Mus musculus: one gene and its partners. Each later gene encodes a partner of the first gene's protein in a complex. Links are inferred from orthologs where the notes say so. Each region holds a gene or a part of one and is shown in the gene's direction. Other genes may lie near its edges.

Region 1 (3,520 bases):
AGCCTCCGGAACTCAACCTTACCTCCCTGTTCGAGAGTAATTCAGTCTGTAGGGTCCGAACTGTCTTAGATTCAGGTCAAAGTGCTAGAAAGGGTGAAGTGTCCGTGAGACAACGAACTCACAAACCCCATCCCACCCCCAGCCCCATCCCGAGTCTCCAGGCTCCTCTCCCAGCCTGGGCTCACCTTGGCAGCACTGGCGATGTCCACAGCCTCCACGATGTCTGTCTGCAGGATTTTTGCCGTGTCTTCCCCATCTTCTCCTACCAGAAACCTAAAAGGCAGTTAGGATGACGACGGTGACGGTCCCCACCATGCAGCGGGCATACAAACATAAAAACGCAGAGAGACAGGACAGCGGGGAAAGCCCAGGTCGGGGTCCACTCACCCAGGTTCCTCTGCAAGCAGCAGCTCAGCGCGGGCGGCTCTGACGCTTGCCTCTTCCTCTTGCGCTTCAGCCTTCTCGAGTTTGCTTTGAGTTTTAGGCTTCGAATGTGGGAGCTACGGCATTGTTGACAGGGTTGCAAGAACCGAAGAGCATATGTGGGGGTCCCAGGAAAACCACTGGGGAAGCCGCCACCACCTCATCCAAACCCTCGGCCTCCAATCCCTCTGACAGCCCGCCGGTCCTCACCGTTTTGGACTTGTCAATTCGACAAAACTTCCGGGCCTCCTCCAGGGGGGCGGGGACGGGTCCTGGGAACGGGTCCTGAGCCTGGCGAGGACAAGGAGGCAGGAGGCAGATTCTGATGGATCCGGTTCCTCTCGATCTCCGGGGACGACCTGCACCGCCACCCTGTCAACCCCAGGCTCACCCCCGACAGCGTCCTCTGAGGCTTCTTCCAGTCTGGAGCGGTCTTTGAGATCGGGGGCTTCTTGGAGAACCGGGACTTCTGGGCGATGTGCGCGCTCTTGGACCTCGGGGGTCGCGACTCCCCAGTCCTCGCCTTCTTCCGAGGCGGCCCCGGGGAGGTGGCGACGGCGGCCGGGGTGGTCTCCTCCTCCCAGTAGCGCCGCGGTTTCTAAGGGGCAGAGGAAAAGCCTTCGCACACGCTGCCCGAGCCTGGGCCCGGGACGCGGACACCTCCCACCAAAGCTACCTTCCTCTTGGCCTGAGGCTTGTCTCTCTTGGGTGGGACACCCCTACCCGGCTTGGGGGCTGTCTCCATCTCCAAGACCGAACAACGATCCACGTGCGAAACTCCCTTGAGTAGTAGCTCGGCGGTCTAGGAAAACTTCCGGAAGTCCCCCCCTTCATCCAATCAGCGCCGTACCGGCGTCTGAAGCCTCCGGCGCCATGTTAAGTGAGGGCATGCCTCTGTGAGCCCGGGAGGATCGCCCGAGGAGCAGCTTATAACCAAATAAAGATTTAAAAAGCATGTATGAGCCCCGAATCTTGTTAACTATGAGCTTAGATTTTTCCATATTAACTTTTCTGTCTTGCCCAAAACCTCTCGAGCCGAGTCTTTTAGGTCGAACGAGCCTCACACAAGTCAGAACTACATGTTCCAGCATGTATCGGAATGTAACTTCCGGCGCCGTCTTTTTCTCTCCCGTCATGCCTTGTTTACTTCCGGGTTTATTGATTACAGCGGGTAGAGCGTGAAGAGGTTAGCGTTTGGCTTGGAGGGTTCGGGGATCTCTTCTTTCGCTCTCCTTTGCCTAGGGAGTGGCTATTCTGGACGAAAAGAGGCTGCGGCGCCTCGGAGAGTTGCGGGTAGAAAGTGCTGTCCTTCTGCAGGGTCAGGGAGGGGGGATTCAGGTGCCTCCCAGAGCTTGAGACCCAGCGACCCCCGCCCAGGAGGCTTTCTCCTTCACCATGGCTGAACTGATCCAAAAGAAGCTGCAGGGAGAGGTAGAGAAATATCAACAGCTGCAGAAGGGTAAGAGAGGGAGTTGGTGTGGTCTCGCTCCTGTCCGCTCTCATCTATGATGAAGCGTCGCGCCCCATTGGGGGCTGCGGGGGTGCATCTTGTTACCCCTCGCCTCGGTATCGTCGCTTTCTTCCTCACACCCAGTCTCCCCAGAATTGCGCGGTTCTGGGCCCATTTGATGTTTTTAATCGTGCATTTCCTCTCTCCACCCCAGACTTGAGTAAATCTATGTCAGGGAGGCAGAAGCTCGAAGCACAGCTAACGGAAAACAATATCGTGAAGGAGGTGAGGATGGGACGCGGGGGTGGGGGGCGAGGAGGGACTCTCCTGGGCACGATCATCTCATTCACTGCCTCATCCCCTTCTCAGGAGCTGGCCCTGCTGGATGGATCCAACGTGGTCTTTAAGCTTCTGGGACCCGTGCTTGTCAAACAGGAGCTGGGGGAGGCTCGGGCCACAGTAGGGAAGAGGCTAGACTACATCACAGCAGAAATGTAAGTCCTGCGGATGGCGTTTTCAGTGCACAAGTGTTAAACCCGTGCTGGATAGTTCTCCACTTACCCATTTCTGTAAAGTCCTGGCTGCCCTGGAACTCGCTCTGTAGACGGGGCTGACCTGACACAGATGCGCCTGCTGCCGCCTCCTAAAGGATGGGATTAAAGGCATGTGGCACCACTCCTGGCCTTTCTTGCTGTGTGACATCTGGTGAGGGCACTTGTCAAAGGACAACCTGCGGGAATGTTTGCCTCCCTACTGTGGGGTTCTGTAGCTTGAATTCAGGTGCCAGCCTTGGAGGACAGCAGCCCTCTCTTCCCCTTAGTGCCATCCCCGCTTTCTGTCCCACAAACCTCCAGTCTTCCACCATATCATTGAGCCCTGGCTGATATCTCCTCTCCGTTTGCCTCCCTTTGCCCTCCTCAGCAAGCGCTACGAATCACAGCTTCGGGACCTCGAGCGGCAGTCAGAGCAACAGAGGGAAACCCTTGCTCAACTGCAGCAGGAGTTTCAGCGGGCCCAAGCTGCAAAGGCTCCTGGGAAAGCCTGACCCCGTGGGAGGGGGTCAGGAGGGAGGGATGAGGCTAACCCTGAGCCAATAAAATGTAAACAGAACCAAGCCTACTTTACAGCCAGTCTTTCTTCACTGTACTTCCATTCCCGTACACTTTTACACCTCTTGAGATTCACGGTCTTGTGACTGAAATCTCTCAGTGGCCGGATTCTGTTTTGCTTTCCTGTGGCTGAGAACTGTGCCCAGGGTGTTTCCTTGGGTCCCTTCAGTTTCAAAACTTTAGTCTGAAACGTCTCAAGCTATTTCTTGCCTGTACATACAACCCTTTGACTTCCCTACGTTGGTTGGCGTAACCGGGAGACACGGGAGAAGACACTGTCTACAGTGCAGCATGTTGTTCGTTGCCATAGAACTCAGTTCTCTGGCCTGAGAGCCCAGGAAATGACAGTCACTCACGGTGAGCACTTGTCTCCCCAAGCAGCCCTAGCCCTAGACTGTTACCTGATTTCCCCGTCTATCTTCTCAGGGTTGGTTTGAATGTAACTTTTTTTGGTTTTGGAGACAGGGTTTCCCTGTGTAGTCCTGGAACTCACTCTGTAGTGAGGCTGGCCTCGAACTCAGAAATCCGCCTGCCTCTG
Region 2 (3,670 bases), on another chromosome or scaffold:
AGTCACGAAGACCCAGGTGCTGGAGGAGGTGGGCACTGTCTGGGGCCATGCCATGGGAAGGACAGAGTTGTCCCTCTGCGAATTATAAAGTTTCTTTTCCTTATCTTCATTCTTTAACCTTCTCATCGTGAAAAGAGACAGTCTGTTAGAAATACTAAGACCTGTTTAGAGGGGGAGAACAGGGTGAGAGACCAAAACAACTTTAGTCATTTTCAAATTGAAATGTGCAGTGTATTTAATCTTCCTTTATCTCTCTGGTATTTTCTTCCCAAGATATATGCATGTGGGAAGGAATGCGGCATTAGCTGGCATTCTTTTCGTATCTGATTCCCAGTGTCCTGTACAGTGTTGCTCACTGTTTAATGGATGAGCATAATACTTGATATCAAGCAGTAAATCACCCACCTACAAAAGAGTCTGAGCAGCTCCCTCTGTCTCCAGTTAATCTGCTGGATTTGCCCTTTATCGGGAAGTGCATACAGTTACGGGTGTTGGGGACTCTGGAGAAAGTATCGGGTATCTGTGACCCGCCGGTAGCTTCCTTCTCTTGGCAGAGGGTAGTGGGCACACTGGGTTGGGCACATGGGGGGATTGTCAGGGAGGCTGTCGTTGTTAGGCTGCAGTTGGGACCCGACCCTCTATCTCACTGAGCTCTGCCATTTGAGGGCTGGGCAGTGAAAACCCACACAGCATTCACTGTCTCTCTGTCTACAGAGGCAAGGCAGGTGTGACACCTATGCCACAGAGTTTGACCTTGAAGCTGAAGAGTACGTCCCTTTGCCAAAGGGAGATGTGCACAAGAAGAAGGAAATCATACAGGATGTGACCTTGCATGACCTGGATGTGGCTAATGCGCGGCCTCAGGTACTGCTGTGCTGCTGTGGGAGGAGCTCTCGGGCAGCCTTTTGTCTCTGCCTGGAAGCTCTGGGGATGAATCGGCAAGGTCTTGCTGCCACTTTGGAGGCAGGCGCTCCTTTTCTCTCTGTGATGTTCGGCAATTAACATGGGCATGAGCTACGCAGCACTCCTTTGTTCCCATTCTAGTGCACCAGTCACAGATGATTTCCTGGGCTATTTCTTCTTGCAGCCAAGCCTCCCGCCCTGAGCTAGCCAACTTCCTCCCTGGCTTCTCTCCAGCAGTGACTTGTGCCTGGATGCTCTAGGTATTGCTGACAGGAGGGCATGAGTGCTGTGTGAACCCTCACAGGGTTTCTGAAAGCCTCGCACAACTGTGACCTCCCTCCACTTAGCAGAGCCTTGCCACCTTTAGCTTTGAGCTGGACCCAAGCCCGCAACTCTGGAGGGACAGTAAATATTTAGACCTTGACTGATAACTGTAGGAAAGGATGTCATTCCATAGCCACAATTCTGAGGGACATGATTCAAAGAACCAAAGTACACAAATTCCTTACTGGTGGCCTTTCAGGTTACATTTATCTTCATCCTCCCTAGGCCACCTCTGCAGCAGCAGTGGAGAATGGGCCCATCGAGGCTTTGTTCAAGAGATTGTTGACATCAGTCCTAGACCAGCAAGTGCCTTTAGGAGGTAGATGTCTGTCTCCAAACTGACCTCAGAAGCCTCTGCTTTAGGCAGAGTGTGGGGACAGAGTGTCAGCAGAGCAGCTTCCTAACAGGAGGGGCCTCGCAGGAAGATGGCACAGACAGCCAGAGCTTTGAGTCATAGCTTTGGTCCTTTGTGCATAATCCAGGAGTAACAAATTTTAAAAGATAAAGTGGGAGAAGAGGTCACCCTGTTCACTCTACTCCCAATGGAAAGAGTTTGTTTGATTCCTAGAGGTCTGGAGCCTGTGAAGTTCCTCTGTGTTTAGAAGCTTATCAAGGAAGCTGGGCATGATGCCACCCACATGCCTTAATCCCAGCAGGAGGCAGAGGCAGGTGGAGCTTTGAGTTCAAGGCTGCCTGGTCTACAGTGCAAGTTCATGGACAGCCAGGGCTACACAGAGAAACCCTGTCTAAAAAAATGTACATACATGAAAACACATACATGAAAATATAAACTTTCCAGGGGGCTTGTGTTGGCATCTCCAAGTGAGTTGACATTGGAGACCAGTAGGAAGCAGGGGAATTAGGTTTGGTAGCCTCCTTAGACAGCATGGTCATTCAGTCTTCTCTGGCTGACTGAGTCTTCTCTTTTCCAGGGTGGGCAAGATATTCTGTCTATGATGGGCCAGTTGATGAAGCCAAAAAAGACAGAGATCACAGGTAAGAGCTGGTGATCTGCCTGCCCCCAGAGCCTACAGTAGATCAGGACCCTGGGTGCCAAACCCAGTGGCTGTATGTGCTCCTCTAAGTAAAATAAGCGTGGTGATGGTGTCTTCCCTCCTCTGAGATCACAGCTTAAACCTTGTCATCTGTGCTCTGTTTAGACAGTAGTGTGCTCTCTGGTCCTGGGCACCTAGAGTTTCTGGTCCCTTTGGGGTCCTAGGGATGTTGAGAAGTGGAGCGAACTCTGCTGCCATGGCAGCACCACCTTCTTCCCTCTGCCCTGCTCTGGTGTGGCCTTTATACTCTTCCCACCTCTGTTATCGTTTCCTAGCAACCTGTAGGTTGGTGACTGTGTGTGAAGCATGAAGTCTCTGTGATCTTGGAGGTCTCAGCTGGACGAGCAGCTGAGACGGTTCTTCCAGATCCCAAGAGCAGCTGTGTCTGGATTTTGCCTGGCTTTGTGTGGCTGATGAGACAGGGTTTCACTGGTTAGTCTAGGATCACCTTGACTAAGAGATGCTGCATTTCCTCCTCAGCCTTCCTAGTTCTGGGGTCACAGGTGTGTGTGCTGCATGCAGCAGCAACCACTGTAGTCTTTTGCCCTGAATTTGCTCTTTGTTCTCAGGCAATTCTTACTGGTAGATTTGGTAGAAGAGGTAGCAACTCCAGCAGATCTTACAGTTCTGTTTATGACCAGACCCTACTGCTGCGGTTAAGACTGGGCTGTGACTCGTGGTGGCCTATTTGACTATGGATAACATCTTGTAAGGCCTGAAACCATCTTCCTGTTTGGAGAGGACTGAGACTGCGTGTGATTGAAGGCAACGTCACACAGGGCCATAAGACAGGGTCATTCACAGAGCACAACATAGGAATATTTGCATATGAAAACTCCTGTCGTCCCAGGCTCCCAAATCTGCTAGACTTGAGTTCTAGTGGGAGCTGGACATCGGGTTGGGAGGATGAGCAATAAGGCAGGGTGGGGCGTGTGAGGAGGTCATGGCCTTCCTGTGCACAACCCACTTGGGGTTAGCCAAACAACTTTAGGGAAAGCTGCCAGTTCTGTGGCCTTTAGGTGTGTTTGTTCCTGTTTTAGATGATGTAACTGAAGCTGGAATGGGGCCAGGGCCTGCTGGGGCCTCACAGTTGGGGAAACAGGTGTAGGGTGGGTTTGGGTGGAAGTCCGAGCTCAGAGCGGGAGCTATTTGCTGGTGCTGACCCTGCCATCCCACATCTAGATAAACTTCGAGGGGAGATCAACAAAGTGGTGAACAAATACATTGACCAGGGTGTGGCCGAGCTGGTCCCTGGAGTGCTTTTTGTCGATGAGGTCCACATGCTGGATATCGAGTGCTTTACCTACCTGCACCGAGCCCTGGAGTCCTCCATCGCCCCCATTGTCATCTTTGCATCCAACCGAGGCAACTGTGTCATCAGGTAGGGC
Region 3 (4,199 bases), on another chromosome or scaffold:
TTTGCCCATGTCCCCTTCCTTTGCACACTCATGGCTTCTTTGGCCAACTGTAGCAGCCTAAGCCCCTTGGTCTACAGGGTAGATGGTGGGCTCAGTGTACTTGGCAAAAACTTGTCTTTCCCAGTTGGGATCAGCCTAAGTTCTCAGGCAGGAACTGGTGATGATCTGTAGATGAGCTGTCAGACGCACATCAGGACAGAATGGAGGCATCTGGACTTCCAAGGACAGACCTTGCCAGTCTTGGTGGCACACGCCTTTAATCCCAACACTGAGAGGCAGAGGCAGGCCATTCTCTGCGCTGTTGAGACCTGGTCTCTATACCAAATTTCAAGTCAGCACACTCCCCCAAAGAAAAGGAGAGGGCTGGTGAGATGGCTCAGTGGGTAAGAGCACCCGACTGCTTTTCTGAAGGTCCGAAGTTCAAATCCCAGCAACCACATGGTGGCTCATAACCACCCATAATGAGATCTGACTCCCTCTTCTGGAGTGTCTGAAGACAGCTACAGTGTACTTTCATGTAATAAATAAATAAATAAATAAATAAACAAATAAGAAAGAAAGAAAAGGAGAAAGGGGCGTTCCTGTGAACTCCCATTGTATAGTTGGAAGGGTTTAGCCCTGGAATCCCTTTCCCTAGGATTCATTTTCTCACCACCTTCTCAAACTTTTCACGAGTTAGCCCACCATATACACACTTGTTTGTTCATTGTGTGTATGCCCGCACATCGATTGTTTTCATTTTAGATTTTTAGTCGTTTAACTATGTTTATCTGTGTGTCTGCATGTGGGTATAGACCTGTAAGTGTGGCCCTTGGAGGCCAGAGGCATCAGACTCTCTGGAGCTGGAGTTACAAATGGCTGGGGGCCACCTCATGTGGGTGCTTGCATCCGATTTCTCATGTAAAGTGCAGATACACTAATAAAAACTTGTATAAAAAGGGAAATTGAGGCACATGAACCTGGCTGTTCATCACTGGTCTCTTGCTTTCTTTCGAGACAGGGTTTTCTCTGTAGACCTGGCTATAGAGCAGGCTGGCCTCGAACTCACAGATCTGCTTGCCGAGGACGGGGATTAAAGGCGTGGACTACAGCCCGGGAGACGCCTAAGGGAGGGAAATAAAACTGTTATCAGGTCAAGTATCGCGAGATCTTCCCGACGCGCGACACCGCCCCGGTGAAGGCTGGGGCTGCCCAACGCGCAGCCTGTCGTGGAAAGTAGGTTTATTCCGGCGTTCACCTTAGACAGCACGAACCTGGGCGGGGGCCTTCCCAGCCCTTGGCGCAGGCGCACTGCCGGGGGGCGGGGGGCATTTTGTGCGTCCGGCGCAGGCTCCGTGCTGGCAGCTCCACGAGCGCGCGTGCACAGTTGTTTGGGAAGCGCGACAGCATGGACGACGAGGAGGAGACCTACCGGCTGTGGAAGATCCGCAAGACGATCATGCAGGTGATCAAGCGTGAGGAGCTTTATGCGAGCGAGCGTTCAGTTGCGGACTAACTGCGGGTTGTCCGCCGAGGCCCGCCTCCCGCAGGGGCCAATCCTCCTGGATTGGAATGCATCCCCGTTTAAAGTGTGGAGCCCACCCACGCTGGCTTCAACTCTTAGAAATCCTACTGCTTCCACCTCCTAACTCTGCCTCAGGGGAAAAGGCCTGGGTGGGCTCCGTTTCGGGAGAGGGGGCTGCTGCGTGGTCACACTTGGTTTTATGCGAGCTAGGTAGCCGCCCACACGAAAGCTATCAACCATCTGTAACCCCAGTTCCAGGGGATCTGACGCCCTGTCCTGATCTCTGGGGACTCCAGACACACATAGGATGAAAAAACAGTATTTTTAAAAACAGAACAAGCCGGTATGATGGTACACGCCTTTAATCCCAGCACTCTGGAGGCAGAAGCAAGCGAATCTCTTTAAATTAGAAGTCAGCCTCATCTACATAGTGATTTCCAGAATAGACAAAGTCACGCAGAGAAACCCTGTCTTGAAAAAGAAAAAGGGAATAAAAGAAAAAATTCTTGGTTGTTTTGAGTTGAACACATGAGACACCATTATTAGATAAAGAGGTATGCATAGTTTTGACTTATGCTGTGTTGGTGGAGCCCAGGGCCACCTCATGCCTGTTCCTCAGCCCTGATCCTGGATGATGCTCTAGTCTCCCTCATCAGGAACACTCAAGACTGGGGACAGGAAGGTGCCTGTATTCAGAAGGTTGCCTACAGTTGCCAGGGGATTAATCCCAGCCTGCTCCACTGAGGTTGGGGGGAGGAGAGGCTTGGCCGGGCCGCTGTGGTCTGAGCCTATACAGAGTTTGGGTACTGCTGGATCAGTTCAGTGTTAGTCCCCAGCCTCGGCCATTCAGGGTCAGGTCTGCGAGCTAAGTGCTCAGGCTGACTGCCTCTTTGCCTCTTGTCTCTGCAGCTGTGTCATGACCGTGGCTACCTGGTGACCCAGGATGAACTGGACCAGACACTTGAGGAATTCAAGGCGCAGTTTGGGGACAAGCCCAGCGAAGGACGGCCAAGGCGCACAGACCTCACGGTGCTGGTGGCCCACAACGATGACCCCACAGACCAGATGTTTGTGTTCTTCCCAGGTGAGGCCCTTGGGCTGGCAGGAGTGGTCTCCTCCAGGCCCTGGCTCAGGTGCCAGTGAATGCATGTCCCACTCTGGCCTAACGCTGCCTGTAAGATTGTGGCAGCTGCCTGCTTTTGTCCCTGTCTCCCCTGGGAAGCCTCCCTTTTGCTGGTGTCGTTTTCATCCCATAAGCCCCAGAACCAGCTCTCAGCCCTCCACCCCCTGGCTCCTATATGCTGTATTCTATAGCTTCTGCCTGGGAGTCCCAGGGCCAGCTATGCCACCCCCACACCCCCTGTGTGCTGTATTCTACAGCTTCTGCCAGCAGCGCAGGTGTCTTGTGGGAGTGAAGGCTATTGGGGAGCCCAGGACCTCCCTGTGCAGCTACATTCAGTCTCCCCAGACAGCTTGCCTCTTTTAATACCTAATGCTTTGTGGCCCCGGGACCTGGTTTTTAGTGTGAGAATTGGGGGGTGCGGGGATGGGCATGGTAGCATATGCCTGTAAGCCCAGTGTTTGAGAGGCAGAGGCAGGCAGTCGAGGCCAGCCTGGTCTATACAATGACTTCCGGGACAACTATGGAGGGCATTGGTTCTCAGCCTTCCTGATGCTGGGACCCCTTAGTACACTTCACATTGTGACCTCCAACCATAAAATCTTCATTGCTAATTCATAACTAATTTTGCTACTATTATGAGTCATAATGTAAATATACCTGTGTTTATCCAGCAATTTGCAAACTAGGTGGCCTGGGTCTGCTCCTGCGCTCTGCCTGAGGAGACAAGGCTAGCCTCATGTAGACACAGGGTCCATCTCTTGGTCAGTCAGTTTCTCCTTGAGGCTGTCTAAGCTGACAGTACCATATCCCCCAAACCCCAGAGCTGCTGAGAGCCCCCACCCCCGTTCCAGGGGGGCCGCAGTTCCTGCATACCCTGCAGCTTCTGCAGTGATAGCTGAGCCCCCTGGCAGCCCCATCATGGCTGCCTTGATGTTCTAGTCTTCCCTTGCAAGCAGAGAAACTAAGACCACAGGCTCCAGTAGTGAGTGTGAGGGTGGTGCTTGTGTGCCCGCAGAGGAGCCCAAGGTGGGCATCAAGACCATCAAGGTATACTGCCAGCGCATGCAGGAGGAAAACATCACACGGGCGCTGATTGTGGTGCAGCAGGGCATGACGCCCTCCGCCAAGCAGTCCCTGGTGGACATGGCCCCGAAGTATGTGCTGGAACAGTTTCTACAGCAGGAGCTGCTCATCAATATCACAGAGCACGAGGTGTGTGTGGTGGGGTGGGGCGTAGTGCTGCCTGCATCCAGGACACGGGCCGGGGCGGGGTGCTTCCCCGGTTTTGGCCCTGAGCATCCAACTTGGTGATATTAATAGCCTGGTTTTGTCCTCTGTCCCAGCCCCATGACAATACCCATTAGTCTGTTGGTCTGTTGAAGTTCCTGATGGCCGCGTGCCTGTGGGTGGGTCTCTGTCTCCACAGCTAGTCCCTGAGCACGTGGTCATGACAAAGGAGGAGGTGACTGAACTGCTGGCTCGATAGTATCCTTTACTCTGTCCCCACACCCCCCTCACCCCAGCGCTGCCCGCCAGCTGCTTCCTTGACTGTTCTAGCAAGCTTCGTGAGAG
Region 4 (4,117 bases), on another chromosome or scaffold:
TAACTAATATTATATAGCTTCCTAATATCTGCTTTAAGCACATCAAATTTACTTTTAAATACATGTAACATCAAATTTTGGTTTTGGTTTGGGGGACAAGGTTTCTCTGTAGCCCTCATCATGGACTGCATGCCACCAAGCAGAAATTCATTCAAGATAAATTTCTTAAAATTTGTCTCCATTTAAACATTTTTATGTGCTCTTATTCATTCCCTTTATGGAGGGTGAAAACCAAACAATGTGTGCAACATATATTTTTTTCAAACAGATCCCCACAGGATATACTGCCTTCCTTATAGATTAGTACCATAATCCTTGCTGGTCTATAGGCACTCTTGTGCTTTTAAAATTATTAAATGCTTAAGTGGTCTCAGTGAGTTCTTTTGGTTTTGATTTGGTTTGTTTGTTTTAAAGAGAATATGAAATTGGAGGAAAATGTGGTAGGAGGAGTCTAGGAGGAGTTGGAGGGAAAAGGGAGTGGAGATGATGAAAATATATTGCATACATCTATGAAACTCTCAAAGAATAGAAATGTTTCTAAAAGAAAAAAATAGGGACTATATAGATACCTCAGTAGTTAAGAGCACTGGCCAGTCTTATAGAGGACCCAGGTTCGATTCCCATTACCCACATGGTGCACACAAACTGTTGGTTGCTCCAGTTCCAGGGAATCCCACAACTTCTTCTGGCCTTTGTGGGCAATGCACGCATGTAGTCCATAAACATGCAGACAAAACACATAAAATAGGAAAACAAATGTAAGAGTAAGGAGGGGGGAATACAGAAATGGCTCATCAGTTAAAAACACATAAAACTTGCAGAGAATGTAAACTCCATTATCAGCACCCACATCATGGTAGCTCACAACTGCCTATAAGTTCAGTACCAACGCGCGCGCGCACACACACACACACTTCAAATTACTAATTATAAACACTTAACTCCCTCTCCCTACCTTCCTGTAAGTCCACCCTCCCTCAGAACCCGCCAAATCTCATTGAACGTCACCCAAACCAGTCTCCCGCCAGCTCGCGACGATCCGCCTGCTGGCAGACCGCGGCGTGCCAGGCCCATCTAGATCCATAGGATCCTGCTACCTCCAAGGATTCACTCAGGCCCCGCCTGCAGCCCTTCCCCTAAGTGCATCTTCCCACACGCCGGACCGCCCCTCCCATCGATTTGGTTGGCTCCCTTGCTGGAAATTACATCATCCATCCGCGCCACCCGGAAGCCGCGGCTCATACTAACAGTTATTGCCGGTGGCCCTACGGTAAACGCCGTACTCCTGTACCGGTGAGTGAACGAGTTCCAAAATCGGGTTGGGCAGAAGCAACTCCGTAGCTCGAGCCGAAAGAAGTCATCCCCAACGTTGAGTGGCTGGAGAGAATTTTGTGAAGTTTAAATAGAGCGCTCAACGTGCCCCCCCCTTTACTCCCCCAGGTGCCCGTCATGGCGACGCCCCCGAAACGGCGGGCCTTGGATACGGTGGGGGAGAAAGTGCTGCGGTACGAGACCTTTATCAGTGACGTACTGCAGCGAGACTTGCAGTGAGTGACAACGTGGGAGGCGTGACGTTTGAGAAATTTCACGTGGTGGGTGGGACAGAATGCCGACCAAACTTTCGGATTGGCCGCCCAGACTTCTGGGAATAGGGTTGACTTCTGGGCTGAGATGTGGTTGGAACTTGTCCCTTTAGCAGAGCTCTGACCTTGTTTGTTGGTTTAAAATAGTCATTCCGAACACAGGGTGTTTCTGACTAGGCCATTTAACCAATATTTATGAACAAGTTGTACCTTACTTCACCTTTGTGAACTTTATTCATCTGTGAAATGGAAAAGTTTATTAGGCCTTCTTAACGTGGTGTTTGAGTTTTAAATGTGTCAACTCCGGCACTTGGGAGCCAGAAGCAGGAGGATCTTTGTAAAGCTGAGAACCAGTCTGGGCTACAGACTAACTTTCTCAAAGGGAGAAAAAAATAGAATAAAGCCAGGCTCAAGCTCCATGGTGTGTGCCACTTCTAGTGGAGAGATGGGAAAATTCACTTGTTTAGCCAGGATTACAAGCCAGCCTTGAAAATAGAACAATATTCTATTTTAAAAAAAATCCAGTGTGGTGACACAGGCCTGCAATTGCTGTACTTGGGATAGTGTCAGGAGCAGGATGACCCAGAGTTGAAGGTGATCTTCACCTACATTCGAGGTTGTGTATAGCCTGGGCTTTGAGATTATGTCTCAAAACAAGCAAACTAGGGCCAGCAAGATGGCTTGCCTCCAACCCCATGCCCTAAGTTAGATCTCTGGGACCCACATGGTGGAAGAAAGAAAGACTCCCAAAAACCTGACCTCTGACCTCCAGGTATGTATCATGGCACCCATACATGTACACAAAATAAACACATAAATGCAAGTAAGAACACATTTTAAAAATGCAGATAAACCCCACTATTATTATATTGAGGCTGAGAGGAAAGAATTGTTTGGTGTGTTTACAAATTCAATACTTAGCCTGAGAAACTCAGATATTGTCTTGGGTAATAAAACAAATAACCTAAATAGTTGTTTTAGGAAAGGAATTTGACCCCAGTGCCTGAAATACACTAAAGACTCAACAACTGGATGATTGCTATTGCTGTCATTACTAATCTGAATAGAAAGTTAGGTATTTAGAACTAGGACTGTGTGAGCATGCTAAAAGAGATGGAGAGGTACATTTAGGGTGAAGATGGGACATTTTAATTGGCATAAGTCACTGAATAAAATGTAATATTTATAATTATAATAGGTAACAAGTATATAATGCTTACCATTTGGCTAGCATTTAAAACACTTTGTAGTAAACACTCGATTCTAATGACTCTTATGTGCTACTACGGCCATCTCTGTTTTCTATGTGAAGAAACTTAATCCTAGGTAGGTTTTCTACTTTCCATAGTCACATTCCTAGTAAGAGGTAGAGGTCAGGCTGAACTACAGTCTGACCTGTATTTATTGAAATGCCTGCTGTGTCTCTGTCTATACCCCATTGTGTGTGTTTTGGAGGAGGGGAGCACGGGATCTCACGATGTAGCACAAGCTGGTCTTGAGCTCAGAATCCTCCTGCCTCAGCCCATGAATTACATCCATGTCAACCACAACCTGACTTAAAATGCCTGGCATCTCAAGAGGAATAAGGCTGCCTAATGTTCACTGTTGTATTTCTACATATCAGAAAGGTGCTGGATCATCGAGACAAGGTATATGAGCAGCTGTCCGTATATCTTCAACTAAGAAATGTCATTGAGCGACTCCAGGTAAAGGTTTTTAAATTGGGTACCACTTTGTGTATGTGTACAAAGAAGGGAGGCGGGAAGAAACCCCAAGAACAAAACCTTATCTGCCTTTAAAATTGCCCGCTGACACCTACCTCTTTTCTCCTGGCCCTATAGGAAACTAATCACTCGGAGTTATATATGCAGGTGGATTTGGGCTGTAACTTCTTCGTTGACACAGTGGTGTGAGTATATTCTCTCCCCTCCTGAGTTTCTCCCTTTTTTCATGGAACAAGTATTTCTTAGTATTTTCTATATACAAGGCTCTAGTAGCTTTTATATTTCATTAGGATATGAGCAACATGTTGTGGGTGTGGCCAAAATGAACACAAAGTATCTGCCTTTACAGAGCCTTCATTTTGAGAAACAGGAAGGAATAGGAAACACCTTAAACCATACAGTGTGCTAAATAGTAATAAAGACTTCTTCCACTTCCTCTGACCTCTTTCCTCAGCCCAGATACTTCACGCATCTATGTGGCCCTGGGATATGGTTTTTTCCTGGAACTGACACTGGCTGAAGCACTCAAGTTCATTGACCGAAAGAGTTCTCTCCTCACAGAGTGAGTGCATTCCAAGAGGATAGTATCTAAAGCCACTACATTGGCTAAGGGTACAGGGAAGTGGTAAGAACATTTGCTTAGCATGTGTGAAGCCCTAGGTTCTATCCATATCACACATCACACAAACACATACACAAAATATATAAAAGCCAGATATGGTAGTTCACACCTGTAATCCCAGGATTCTAGAGAATCAAGCAGGAGGATCATGAATTTGAAGCAACTCTGGGTGATAAAACAAATCTCTG
Region 5 (4,452 bases), on another chromosome or scaffold:
CGTCTCACCCTTGCTGTTCAAAAGCACATGACAATTGTAGATTTTCTGATTCTGCTCCCAGTCTTGGCCACGCTCGTGGAAACCGCCCAAGGACAGCCAGATTCCACATTCCCTGGGGGGGGGGGGGGACACGACACACACAACTCTACCCCCTCTGTGGCAATCCAGGAACACTGCTCAACAGGGAGTTCTACACACACAACCCCCCCCCCCCCAAACCCTACCCTTGTACCTGGCAAGCTGGCTATATTGGCCCAAAAGATCCCCATTCAGTGGTTCGGACAGGAGTAATGTCTCGGCAGGGTTTCGTGCAATAAAGTCAAATGCCTCAGGCAGAAAGGCCAGGCAAGCACCCAGTCTGGCAGCCTCTTGAACCAACTCAGCACATGTTTTAAAGTTCTCTTGCTTGTTTGGTGTTGATGTTACCTGGCACACAGCCACCAGGGGCAGCTCCCAGGAAGTTGATGAGGACATGGTTCTGGGCCTGTGAATGACACAGGCAGTATCCTCAGATTTTCTATCTAGGAGAAACTCAGAGGCTCAAGTGGGGGTGGAGCCAGAAACTTTATTTTCTTTTGACTTTTTTCTTTTTTGAGACACGGTCTTTTGTAGCCCAGACAGGCCTTTCTATGTAACTGGGGATGACCTTAAACTCCTGGTTGATCCTCCTTTTTTTCGAGTGCTGGCATTACAGGTGACCCCAGCAACTTGTTTTCATTCTTACAGAGCATAATAACCCTAGAGCTACTGGAGTTCACTCATTACATGTTTGGAGATATCTTTGTCTCCCACTATGAAGTTAATAAACACGAACTAAGCAGCTATGCGCCAGAGAGAGAACATTACGAAATATGTTACCTGGGCTGAGTACAAAGTACTGGGGTTCGAAGTAATCGGTATCCGGTACACAGGAGTTGGTGAGGAGGCCTGGTGATGAAGCCCAGCCTGAAGAAGGTGAGAAATCAGGACACCTAACCCTCTTTCAAGCCGTAAGTTTCTAGAATTCTCTGCCATTTCCAGGCCTGGCCAGTAATCCCCTCCCCCAAGGCTTCGAAAATACTTTTTACTACTAGTAGCTAGGAAAAGATATAAAATGGGAAAATGGGAGAGGCGACTATGATCGGTGCCTTAATACCTCAACTTCCAGTGATCTCACATTAAAACTGAAGCCCTTTTTCCTTTGCCAAACGTTTCCGCAGTTCAAGTCATCTCATGGAACCTTCCTCGTTTCCCCAATTCTCTTCTCGGCTGTGCCACCTGCACAGCTTTATAGACTCAACACGTATCTTTCCCCTTATACCCGAATCTCAGAAGGAAAGTTCACCCTCCCTAGATCTCCACCATCTCATGGTGGGTAGATGGGTACAGGACCAGATCCCAACCCGAGCCCCCGCCCTCTGATTAGCGCGTCCTTCCCCGCCTCTCCCCCCCGGGCAAGAATCTCTGTTGCACAAGTTAAAGCATCGCAGGTGGAATTCACCGCAGCGGGCAGGGTTTGGGAGTAGGTCCTACATGAAGACACAGCCAAAACCATTCACGGGGTCGGATCTCAAGAGCTGCCAGGAGCCAGGAGCGCAGGAGCAAGTGGGCGGTAACCCCCCGGCCGGATGTGACGCAGTGAGAGTGCGCAGGCCGGAAAGCTTGCAGGTGGGGAAGATGGCGGACAGCAGCGGTCGTGTGGGCAAGAGCGGCGGGAGCGGCGCGGGGAAGGGGGCGGTGTCGGCGGAACAGGTGAGGAGCCGCGAGCGCACAAGGCACCCGGGGCGGTGTCGAATTCGTGTAGAAGATAAGATTTGTGGCTCGAAGGGGCCTTTAGTCCTTTCCACGGTCTCCATGGGCACGCACGGGGGAGAGGGGGTCTCTGGAGGTGATCACGAACCTTTCTAGAGCCTGGGTAGGTAGGGGAGAGGCACGCCCGCGGTGTGGGTGGGTAGTCAAGGGAGAAAGCCCTGAGCTGCAGGGTCTGGGAGGGTTGGCCAGGTCTCTGAGAAGATGGATCGTAGTTTGCCCCCTCTCCGAGGTACCCTAAAGAGCGTATGGTGTTTGGCGTGGCATCTAGTAACGAATTCCAAGCTGTTCTTAGTCAGTGAGTGGCTTATGTAGTTCATGGCTCAAAAACCGTGTTCACCATCACCAACACGCTGCAGAGCCACGTGACTCAGACTCTGAGCAGTTTAGTGTTCCGTAAATTATTTTGACTAAGGAGTCTGTGGTTTGTTTGTTTGTTTGTTTTGTCTTGGAGGTGGGGATGAGGGTTGCTATAGGGTCGGGTCCGGCCTTGGCTTTTCCGGAATTCACTTTGTAGACCAAACTGGCCTGGAAGATCCGCTTGCCTCTGCCTCCCACATACTGCGATTAAAGGCTCGGATTATTTCGTCTTTGAGACACGGTCTTACTAAGTGGCCTACGCTGGCCTCGAGCTTGCTCGGTGTGCTCTCTTTGCAAAGATTGACTTCGGAAGAGGGCAGAACCCACCCCCCACCCCCTCTCTCTTTCTCTTTCTCTCTTTCTCTCTTTCTCTCTCTCTCTCTCTCTCTCTCTCTCTCTCTCTCTCTCTCTCTCTCTCTCTTTCTTTCTTTCTTTCTTTCTTTCTTTCTTTCTTTCTTTCTTTCTTTCTTTCATGTGTGAGTACACTGTAGCTGTCTTCAGACACTCCAGAAGATGGAGTCCGATCTCATTACGGATGGTTGTGAGCCACCATGTGGTTGCTGGGATTTGAACTTTGGAAGAGCAGTCGGTGCTCTTAACAGCTGAGCCATCTCACCAGCCCCAGAAGAGTAATTTTAATCATAGGTACATTTGTCAGTTGGTTGTTGAACAATTCCTACAGGTAAAAGCATCAGCATAAAGAGTCTAAAACCCACACTGTCAAAGAGTTAGAAAGTAAGTGTTCAGGGAGAACTGAAGTGCAGGGGAATTCTGGAGATGGAAGAGGGTGTAGCCTCTGACATAGTGGGAAGGAAAAAATGCTAATGCTTTGGAGAGTCCGTCTTGTGTTTGGCTTTGCTTAACCCAGAGGAACAGGTAAATGAAATAGACCTTGTCTTAAACTTGGTCACAGCCAAGTGTGGTGGCCCATACCCATAATCCCCCTGGATTACCCTGTCAGTTCCAGGCTAGCCTGGGTTACAGAGTAAAACACAGTCTCAAAAACAAAACAATGAGACTTTATGTGTGTTTGCATGTGTATGTGCATATACCACATGTGTGCAGGAGCCCTCAGAGACCAGAAGAGTGGTCAAAACCTCTGATAACTGCCTATTAGCTACCATGAGGGTGCTGAGAACCAAACCCAGGTCCTCCGCTATAAAAGTAATCGTTCTTCCACCGAGCCATTTCTCCAACCCTACACTACAAACTTCTGCACATAATGAACTTTTCTTGCACAGTTTGGAGAGAGAGTCCAAAGTAGTGTAGATTTCGGATGTGGCAGGTAAGTAGGCAAGGGAATGGCGGGTAGTGGAATGGTTGGGAGGGTTTCCTGGCCTAGAATCAGAATGACCTGTGCTTGCTTTGTATTTCTTATTTATATATGATTTCTCTTGTTACCTTTTACCCTCGTCTATCTGTAAAAGCACAGTAGTTTTCCATTTCGTAACTAGAGTACTAGGCAAGAAAATCCATTTGGGTTTTGTTTTGTTTTGTTTTTTTCCACCATGACTAAATACAGAGACTACATAGTGTGTTTAACAAATGCTACTTAGAGCTGGAGAGATGGCCTCTGCACTCGAGCACCTGATCTCGCACAGACAGACACACTTGCACGCACATAATCTGAACAGTCTTTCTAAATGCTAATTTCCTTTTATTTTCTAGATTTTTTGGCTTAATTCTAAAGGCTGGGAAAAGTTAGTCATGTGAAGATTTTTTTTCGTTAGAAGTAGTGTGTTCAAAAGCATTGAGCCATGAACTGCTTGGCATTGAAAATGCTGGAGAATTTAAAGAGATATATTGCAAGACCTAAAGAGATACAGTCAACTTTGTTCTTTGACACAGGGTTTTTCACGTGGCCTAGAACTCACCAGGTAGGCTAGGATGGCTGACCAGAGAGTCCATTGATCCTCCCTTTCCTCAGCACTGGGAAAACAAGCCTCAGAATTTAAGTTCACTAGCATTCCAGTGCCAGGCAGTTCATGCCTCAGTACCATGCCTGCCTGCCTGCCTGCCTTTTTTTTCCCTCCTCCTCCTCCTCCTCCTCCTCCTCTTCCTCCTCCTCTTCTTTTTTCTCCTCCTCCTCCTCCTCTTCCTTCTTAAAAAGTGTGTTCTGGGGCTCAAACCCTGGTTCTTTGGCTCTTTACCTGTGAAATTTTCTTCCCAGCCCAATTTAAGGTTTATTACTGATGTGTGTGTTAGCCTAGTGTGTCTCTCACAAGGAAAATAGGAGCAGGTAATACTTCGTACTAGGTGCTTGTTTTATTTTCTGTTCTTTATCATTTATTGGTTTACTATTGT
Region 6 (4,379 bases), on another chromosome or scaffold:
ATGAACGCGGGTGCCCTTGCATTTGGAGCATAAATGTTCAGAATTAAGGGTTCTTCTTAGTAGATATTTCCTTTGATGAGTATGAAGTGTCCTTCCTTATCTTTTTTGATGACTTTTGGTTGAAAGTCAATTTTATCCTATATTAGAATGTCTACTCCAATTTGTTTCTTGGGACCATTTGATTGGAAAATTATTCTCAGCCCTTTATTCTGACATAGTGTTTGTCTTTGACACTGAGGTGTGTTTCCTATATGCAGCAAAATGTTGGGCCCAGTTTACATATCCAGTCTGTTAGTCTATGTCTTTTTATTGGGGGGATTGAGTCCATTGATGTTAAGAGAAATTAAGGAATAGTGATTGCTGCTTCCTATTATTTTTTATGTTATTTTTATGTTTGTGTGGTTATCTTCTTTTGGGTGTGTTGAAAGGAGATTACTTTCTTGCTTTTTCTAGGGTGCAGTTTCCCTCCTTGTGTGGGTGTTTTCCATCTATTATCCTTTATAGAGCTAGATTTGTGGAAAGACACTGTGTACATTTTGTTTTGCCATGGAATATCTTTGTTTCTCCATCTATGGTAATTGAGGGTGTTGCTGTAATAGTAGTCAGGGCTGCTATTTGTGGTCTCTTAGGGTCTGTATGACATCTGCCCAGGATCTTCCAGCTTTCATAGTCTCTGCTGAGAAGTCTGGTGTAATTCTGATAGGTATGACTTTGCATGTTACTTCACCCTTTTTCCTTACTGCTTTTAATATTCTTTTGTTTGTTTGTTTGTTTAGTGCATTTGGTATTTTGATTATTATGTGATGGGAGGAATTTCTTTTCTGGTCCAATTTATTTGGAGTTCTGTAGGCTTCTTGTATGTTCATGGGCATCAAATTCTTTAGGTTAGGAAAGTTTTCTTGTTTAATTTTGTTGAGGATATTTACTGACCATTTAAGTTGGGAATCTTCACTCTCTTCTATACCTGTTATCCTTAGATTTGGTCTTGTCATTGTGTCCTGGATTTCCTGGATATTTTGGGTTAGGAGCTTTTTGCAATTTGCATTTTCCTTGACTGTTGTTTCAATGTTTTCTATGGTATCCTCTGCACCTGAGATCTGCATCTGGTATGTCTTAAGACAGAGACAGTGAACTCATCATATACATAAAATAAGTAAATCTGAAGAAGAAGAGGAGGAGGGGAGGGGAGGAGGAGGAGGAGAAGGAGGAGGAGGAGGGGGAGGAGGGAAGGGACGAGAAGAAGAGGAAGAGAAGGAGGAGGAGGAAGAGGAAGGGGAGGGGAGAGGAGGGGGAAGGGGATGAGAAGAAAAAGAAGAAGAGGAAGAAGGAGGGGGAGGAGGAGGAAGGGGGAGGGGGAGGAGGAGAAGAAAACCAAATTTAAGAGTATTAAATTATAGTGATTTATTTTTACATAGGATCCACTAGGGGGCGATACAGACCATTCATAGATTCTGCAGCCAAGCCACACCTACATTTAGCAGAAAACCATTTTGCAGTGGAGCACAACTCTTAATTCGACTTTTCACAACCCACCCCGCGCGCGCTTGCCACTGCGCAGGCGTGAGTGTGCGCACTCCATTGGTCGGGGTGCCGGAAGGGGCGGATTCCTGAGTGGAACCCAGGCTTCCTGCCGGGGCTGCTGGCTGCCGTTCCTTCCTCAGTCGCGGTTCTTGGCGTGCGGCGCGGCTAGGCGATGCCCAGCAGTGGGGTGCACGCCGATGGCCGCGCCGCGCCGGGGCCCCCACACACATCGACTGCGCACGCCGAGTCCCTTAGCAGCAAGGTGCCGTGGGACGCCGGGGAAGGGTGGTGGGCGGCGGGCCCCGCTGTGCCCTGTAGCCTCCGCCGTGCATTCTCAGCACCAGCAGCTGATTCCCCTCCATCCTGCAGGTTTGCGACGATGGAGGCGTGTCCCCTGAAAAAAAGTGACACACAGATGTGTTGCTCAGTCACACACAGATCTGTTGCTCTGTGGCTGTGCTTCATCCAGTTAGCCACGCACCCGCCTGGGTGCCATCCATGACGTCCATCATAAAAGTTTAGAAGTCTGTACCTGTTCTTCCAGACTCAGGCAAAAGCTTCTTAGCCGATTTTCTCAGCTGCCTGTTACCTTAAAATATATTCTCAACTTTAAGTGATCCTAAAAACATCTGTTTGGTCATCTCTTTATTATTCAACAAGAGAAAGGAGCACCCTATCAAATTAATTTTTTTCTATACCTTTAGGATAGGATTTCATAAATAACTCAGGCCAGCCTCAGATATTATTGCTTAGGCATTACTTGAATAATTCTCTTGCCTAATAGCCAGGATTTCAGGGAGGCAACCCCATACCGGAACTAGTCCTAACTTCCAGTTACAGACGAAAATCTTTAAACGTGTAGAGTGGAAGGGTGTGGGTATAGTCTTTTCAGATATTAAACATTCCTAAATTCTGTATTTTTTCTGTCCTATATGATATCTTCAGTACATTGCCTAATTCCCGCTGTACCACAGTGTACTGTGGTGTCACCTAAAGTGACACCTGTCATTCCTGTAATGAGCATAAAAACACTGTACAAGCAGACTTGAATCTCAAGGAAAGCGTACTCAATATGGCTTTGTAGGTTATTAGTACAGCTCTCAGGACTTAATAGACTATTTGCCTAGCTTAACGATACCAGCAATATGCAGTCCTTAATACTTGAAATAGAATGATACAGTGGTGGAAAATCATGTTGGATCAGTGCAGGTAGGGCATTCAGTACCATAGTACCATTTCATTTGTTTTATCCGAATGTCTGGCTGTCATCTAGTGCATACATCATAAAACCATTGGTTGTTGGTAAAGAGGAGAACCCACATTCATTTTATTTCTCTCTTTTTGTCTACAGCAAGACCTTATAAAACTAAAAGATTGGGTTTTTGTTGTTTTCGGGAGAGGTTTTGTTTGTTTTTGGTTCTTTTGTTTGGTTGTTTTTTGTTTTTTTCAAGACAGGGTTTCTCTGTGTAGCTCTGGCTGTCACAGAACTCAGTCTGTAGACCAGGCTGGCCTCGAACTCAGAAATCTGCCTGCCTCTGCCTCTCAAGTGCTGAGATTAAAGGCGTGCGCCACCACTGCCTGGCTTAAAAGATTGGTATTAATTTGGGTAGGCAGTGGCTCACCCTGGTTAAAGATGTGAGCTGTGGTAACTGACCCCTGGCAAGCCTATGCTTCTCCTTCTCAAGCTGTCTTCTACTGATTCCAGACTGAGTGCTGTTGATTTGTTCAGTGTCCATTTAGACAGGCAGTCCATTATAGCCCCCAACCCCATCTTTAGTTTTAAAGCAGTGACTTAAAATGTTCTCGCTAAACATACTTTGAAATCTTCCACTTTAGATTTTTTTCTTTACTTTAATAGATTAAAGAACAGAAAATTATTGTGGATGAACTTTCTAATCTAAAGAAGAATCGGGTGAGTTGCTGTGGAAATCTGAATAGTATATTAAAATTATGATTTCGATTATTTATGCTAACATTACAAAATTCAAAGATCATAATTTAAAAGCTAACGTGGTATCCTAGTTTGTTTTTGCATGTTTTAAATTTGTTTTTCCTGTATATGTCAATAGATCTCAAAGATAAAAAAATATTTATTATATTTTAACAAAAAAGAATGAAGTTTTTCACAGAAAACTTTACTATTCTAAATACTTAACCCATTTAATGCCTTTTTTATGAATATGTTCAGAAATCAGCTGCGATTATGTAATGACTGACATTCTTGACATTTCTGATATTGTCATTTGGGATATATTAGATGCTAAGGCAAATTAATACAAATTTTTGGAGATCAAACTGTCAAAATGTGTAAATGCTGTTTGACACTTCTGAGTAACTGGTGTGTAAGCAGTTGTGAGGGTGCATGTGTGTTTACACGTAGAGGCGCTCATCAGCACCTGTAGTGACGATACAGTAAGTGTCTGAAGCTTGAGGCCAGCAAAGAACTATAGTGTTGTACCCATATGGTCAGAAAAGGTCTCCATGTATTATTCATTTATGAAGTAAATTATAAATCTGTGGCTATGATAGCTTTTGTTACTGAAAGTGTGTGGTATGATGATGCATGCTAAGTAAACAACCAGTTCTGGGTGGCGTAGTATTCAGTGGCTTTGTTTCTCTGTGGTAATTACTGTTCTGAATATTCCTGAAGTTCAAGAATAAATGATAACAGGATCCTGTTCAGCATCAGTGTGCATGTCATACCCTGATCTTGTCAATTTCGTTTGCAGAGAGTATACAAGCAGCAACAGAACAGCAACATATTCTTTCTTGAAGATCGAACAAAAATCTTTTCTGAAAGCAAAAGTGAGTGGTGGTCGTCTTGGTTTTTGTTTTCAGAGTTATATATGGAATGCTAC
Region 7 (3,574 bases), on another chromosome or scaffold:
TTTAAACTGTCTCCCCAGTGTCACTCCCACTGCATAGTACAGACAGGGCACTCAGGCTTGGTCTGCATGGTGGCCTCTGGGTGGCTATGGTACCAAGTCTTTTGTGGATGTGTTAAATGAGCTTTTGTAACTGTTGCTTACAGCCCTTTCTGTGGTACACACATTGCCCATTGGTGTCTGGCCATCCAAATTTCAGAAAGAATTACAACAAAAGATTATGGAGAGCCCCAAGTCAGTCCAACCTATAGCATTCATATTAAAAGAGAAGCACAGGCAGATGCTGAAAAGAGGTGCTGTGTGGAAGTTTGCAGGAAAAGTCACCGTTGCCCGAGGATGAAATTCTGCCTTTACTCGTGTAAGGTCAATATTGGAAAGTCCTAAGTGCTGCTTCAGCCATCAGCTGAGAAATAAAAGTCACTGAAGCTTACATATAAAAATCCACCCGTGAACGCCAAGCTTTCACTCTTACCCCTTTGCTCCTGTCTTTTAGTGAATACCCAACTCAGCGGTCAAAGAAAGATTCCGAGGGCTTGGAGATGGGAGTCGCAGGTTCCGTCAGCCTTCTGCAGAACGTGACCGTGTCTACTCAGCCCATCTCCAGTTTGGACTGGAGTCCTGACAAAAGGGGGCTCTGCGTCTGTAGTTCATTTGACCAGATGGTGCGTGTGCTGATAGTTACAAAGCTCCAGACCATTTGACTCAGACTTTACACTTGACATTGTCCAGAGGGTTGCTCACAGAACTGTAACTTGATCTGTGTTCTGCATCCTCTGGCCCCATTGAAGACGGTTGGATTTGAGTGATGAGTGACAGCCATGGGCACAAAGCCAGCCAGCCAGCCTCTAGCATCTTTGGGTGTTTGCTGGCCTGACCAGCATGCTGCTGCACGTGAAGGCCCCACACACCAGCACCAGCTTTGTTCCTTTTCCCCATGTTTCTACTCAGAAACATTAGGGCCAGGAGTTGTGGTGCCAGCTACTTAACAAGCTGAGGCAGGAGGATCAATGTAGTCCATAAGATCAAGACTAGCTTGGGCAGCATAGTGAGACTCTGCCTTTAAATATAGTTGGATGAGACCCAAGTTTGATCATCAGTATCTCTATCAGGTGACTTATAATTCCTGTAAGTCCAGTTGCAGGGCATCTCATACCATTTTCTGGCTGTATTGGGCAGTGGTACCCACAGACACATGCACATTCTTAGAAATTAAAAAAAAATTGTTTTTAAATTAAAAAAAAATGTAAAGCCAAAGTCAGTAGTTGTTATTTAAGTGTATTTAAGTCTGTTCTGTATCTGCATAGCTCTGTGCTTTCTCTGTACACTGTGCTCCTACTCGGAGTCACTTCACTTGCTCTGTAAAGCTCCAGAAGAACACGGTTCGACTAGCCAGCCTGGAGAACTGTTTTCAGCAGTGTAACTGGTAAAATACTGTGACTTCCAGCTGTCTCTCGTTTACTCAGATACCAGCCTTAGTTGTCTTTTGACTGTGGTAAGTGATGACGAGCCGTTGAAGATTGAATTTGTTTTTAAACCTTTTTGTCAAACCTTTAAAATATATATTTTAAAATAAACAGGTTTTTAAAATATTTGGAGGCGTTGATTCTTTCCCTTTGTTCCCTTCTTCCTCCTTGTTAAGTGCACCTTAGTTTCACTGGCCCACATCATAAGCTGAGCCTCCGGAAGGACTGGATTAATCATACCTGCAATAAACCTTGTGTCTCCCAGCTCAGTTCAAAGGGGCAGAGACATATAATATTCATATTTACAAAACCAATGAGCTCTATTCCCAACATGCTTTTATAGAACAGTGCTGTGGAGGGTTAAGTGCTTGCTATGAAGGAGGAACGCCTGAGTTCTGAGGACTCATAGTAAGGTGGAAAGAGACAGCCACTCAGCCCTGACCACTGACATATGTGCACAGCATGCTCACATACACATACAAAGCACATCTAAAAGGAACGGAGTTGTAAGTATAATATAATAAAAATAAAATTGATCTTTAAAAAGGCCGCTTGGATTTTTCTCCCAATGTTCAAAAAAGAAAAAAATAGAAAATATATGAGAATCTGGCTTCGAGTATTTGTTATTGATGATAGAGAAAGGTTTAACTAGAACAATTAATTTATTTCATGAAGTCTAAGATGTCAGTTGTAGAATTACCTTGTACTGAAGAATGAAAAATTACTGGCCTCTTGTAAGAACATGAACTTTTTACCTCGGAGCCCACCCCCTCCCATCTGAAAAACATTTTTGAGATAAAGGCCTCCTGGAACAACCTCAAAATGAACCGGGTACATTGCCAAATGATAGGACATGACTCCTTAGTTACGTAGATTCCTTGATAGGACATGACTCCTTAGTTACGTAGATTCCTTTGGCAGAACTCCCTAGTGATGTAAACTTGTACTTTCCCTGCCCAGTTCTCCCCCTTTGAGTTTTACTATATAAGCCTGTGAAAAATTTTGGCTGACCGTCGATTCTCCTCTACACCACTAGGTGTATGAGTTTCGACCCCAGAGCTCTGGTCTGTGTGCTTTCATGTTGCTGCTTTATTTCGACCCCAGAGCTCTGGTCTGTGTGCTTTCATGTCGCTGCTTTATTAAATCTTACCTTCTACATTTTATGTATGGTCTCAGTGTCTTCTTGGGTACGCGGCTGTCCCGGGACTTGAGTGCCTGAGTAAGGGTCTCACTTCGGGGGTCTTTCAGTACCACAGAGGAAGAACAAGCTGTCATCAATGACGTTGCTGCCGTGCGTTCTTATCAGCTAGTATTTGGTTTGTACTATTTTATTTTGGTACCGGGTATATTTTGTTTATGTTTTGAACCCAGACTGGCCTTGAACTCTTTATCATCTCACTCTGCCTCAAGTGTGCGCCACTATACGCGGTTCCCTCAGATTTCTCTGTAACCCTGGCTGTGCTGGAACTTGCTGTGTAAATGTTTCTGTCTCTCAAGCGCTAGGATTAAAGGTGTGTGCCACCCCCCCTGGCTTTGGCTTCCTACTTCTTAATCTCCAGAATCTGACCCTTGAACTCACCGTAAAATTTTTGCTTATTTCTTTTAAAACTATTTCTTAGTGTTTTCTAAATTTCTTTTAAACTCCGAGTCATTAGTAGTCATGCTTACGGTACTGTGTTCTGTAAATAGCATGTTGGTGATGGGGCTGGAGAGATGACTCTAAGAGTCCTGTTGTTCCTCCAGAAGACCAATTTGGCTTCCCATCATACACCTCAGACAGCTTACAACCTCCTGTAACTCTAGCTGTAGGGAATCCAACAGCTCTGGCCTCTGCAGCCATCCACACACGTGACATATACTCACACACACACACACACACACACACACACACACACACACACACAGAGATTACTGAAAATTAAAAACAAAATAAAAATAAATTGTATTAGCGTGGTGGTTTGAATGACAATGATCCCCATAGGCTTGTATATTTGAGTCAAAAAGGAGCCACTGTTTGAAAAAATTAGGAGGTGTGGCCTTGTTGGAGTAGGTTTGGCCTGTTGGAGGAGGTTGGGCTTTGAGGTTTCCAAAAGCACATTCCAGGCCCAGCCTCT

Evidence for each region.
Region 2: Pfdn6 (region 1) and Ruvbl1 share a complex: the UniProt entries of both Homo sapiens proteins name them as parts of the PAQosome complex. The link is inferred for Mus musculus from reciprocal best matches to the Homo sapiens genes PFDN6 and RUVBL1.
Region 3: Pfdn6 (region 1) and Polr2e share a complex: the UniProt entries of both Homo sapiens proteins name them as parts of the PAQosome complex. The link is inferred for Mus musculus from reciprocal best matches to the Homo sapiens genes PFDN6 and POLR2E.
Region 4: Pfdn6 (region 1) and Uxt share a complex: the UniProt entries of both Homo sapiens proteins name them as parts of the PAQosome complex. The link is inferred for Mus musculus from reciprocal best matches to the Homo sapiens genes PFDN6 and UXT.
Region 5: Pfdn6 (region 1) and Pfdn2 share a complex: the UniProt entries of both Homo sapiens proteins name them as parts of the PAQosome complex. The link is inferred for Mus musculus from reciprocal best matches to the Homo sapiens genes PFDN6 and PFDN2.
Region 6: Pfdn6 (region 1) and Asdurf share a complex: the UniProt entries of both Homo sapiens proteins name them as parts of the PAQosome complex. The link is inferred for Mus musculus from reciprocal best matches to the Homo sapiens genes PFDN6 and ASDURF.
Region 7: Pfdn6 (region 1) and Wdr92 share a complex: the UniProt entries of both Homo sapiens proteins name them as parts of the PAQosome complex. The link is inferred for Mus musculus from reciprocal best matches to the Homo sapiens genes PFDN6 and DNAAF10.

What each region holds. Positions count from the first base shown.
Region 1 is NC_000083.6:33,938,386-33,941,905, reverse strand, and holds Pfdn6 (prefoldin subunit 6), read left to right. Parts: upstream 1-1,562; 5' UTR 1,563-1,818; coding exon 1,819-1,882; intron 1,883-2,087; coding exon 2,088-2,158; intron 2,159-2,242; coding exon 2,243-2,367; intron 2,368-2,794; coding exon 2,795-2,918; 3' UTR 2,919-2,997; downstream 2,998-3,520. Other genes in the region: Wdr46 (WD repeat-containing protein 46), read right to left, coding at 23-84, 186-273, 388-500, 634-714, 815-1,021, 1,147-1,257. UniProt on the Homo sapiens protein: Binds specifically to cytosolic chaperonin (c-CPN) and transfers target proteins to it. Binds to nascent polypeptide chain and promotes folding in an environment in which there are many competing pathways for nonnative proteins.
Region 2 is NC_000072.6:88,482,249-88,485,918, forward strand, and holds part of Ruvbl1 (ruvB-like 1), read left to right. Parts: intron 1-714; coding exon 715-864; intron 865-2,159; coding exon 2,160-2,223; intron 2,224-3,464; coding exon 3,465-3,663; intron 3,664-3,670. UniProt on the Homo sapiens protein: Possesses single-stranded DNA-stimulated ATPase and ATP-dependent DNA helicase (3' to 5') activity; hexamerization is thought to be critical for ATP hydrolysis and adjacent subunits in the ring-like structure contribute to the ATPase activity.
Region 3 is NC_000076.6:80,036,828-80,041,026, reverse strand, and holds the start of Polr2e (DNA-directed RNA polymerases I, II, and III subunit RPABC1), read left to right. Parts: upstream 1-1,367; 5' UTR 1,368-1,387; coding exon 1,388-1,444; intron 1,445-2,413; coding exon 2,414-2,588; intron 2,589-3,642; coding exon 3,643-3,839; intron 3,840-4,053; coding exon 4,054-4,112; intron 4,113-4,184; coding exon 4,185-4,199. UniProt on the Homo sapiens protein: DNA-dependent RNA polymerase catalyzes the transcription of DNA into RNA using the four ribonucleoside triphosphates as substrates.
Region 4 is NC_000086.7:20,959,110-20,963,226, reverse strand, and holds the start of Uxt (protein UXT), read left to right. Parts: upstream 1-1,248; 5' UTR 1,249-1,293; exon of another isoform or gene 1,294-1,377; intron 1,378-1,440; 5' UTR 1,441-1,449; coding exon 1,450-1,547; exon of another isoform or gene 1,548-1,551; intron 1,552-3,207; coding exon 3,208-3,289; intron 3,290-3,424; coding exon 3,425-3,492; intron 3,493-3,761; coding exon 3,762-3,869; intron 3,870-4,117. UniProt on the Homo sapiens protein: Involved in gene transcription regulation. Acts in concert with the corepressor URI1 to regulate androgen receptor AR-mediated transcription. Together with URI1, associates with chromatin to the NKX3-1 promoter region.
Region 5 is NC_000067.6:171,344,056-171,348,507, forward strand, and holds the start of Pfdn2 (prefoldin subunit 2), read left to right. Parts: upstream 1-1,619; 5' UTR 1,620-1,656; coding exon 1,657-1,731; intron 1,732-4,452. Other genes in the region: Nit1 (deaminated glutathione amidase), read right to left, coding at 9-112, 233-484, 859-945, 1,513-1,514. UniProt on the Homo sapiens protein: Binds specifically to cytosolic chaperonin (c-CPN) and transfers target proteins to it. Binds to nascent polypeptide chain and promotes folding in an environment in which there are many competing pathways for nonnative proteins.
Region 6 is NC_000067.6:53,349,934-53,354,312, reverse strand, and holds the start of Asdurf (ASNSD1 upstream open reading frame protein), read left to right. Parts: upstream 1-1,560; 5' UTR 1,561-1,693; coding exon 1,694-1,783; intron 1,784-3,379; coding exon 3,380-3,433; intron 3,434-4,250; coding exon 4,251-4,326; intron 4,327-4,379.
Region 7 is NC_000077.6:17,232,217-17,235,790, forward strand, and holds the end of Wdr92 (WD repeat-containing protein 92), read left to right. Parts: intron 1-490; coding exon 491-698; 3' UTR 699-2,984; downstream 2,985-3,574. UniProt on the Homo sapiens protein: Key assembly factor specifically required for the stability of axonemal dynein heavy chains in cytoplasm.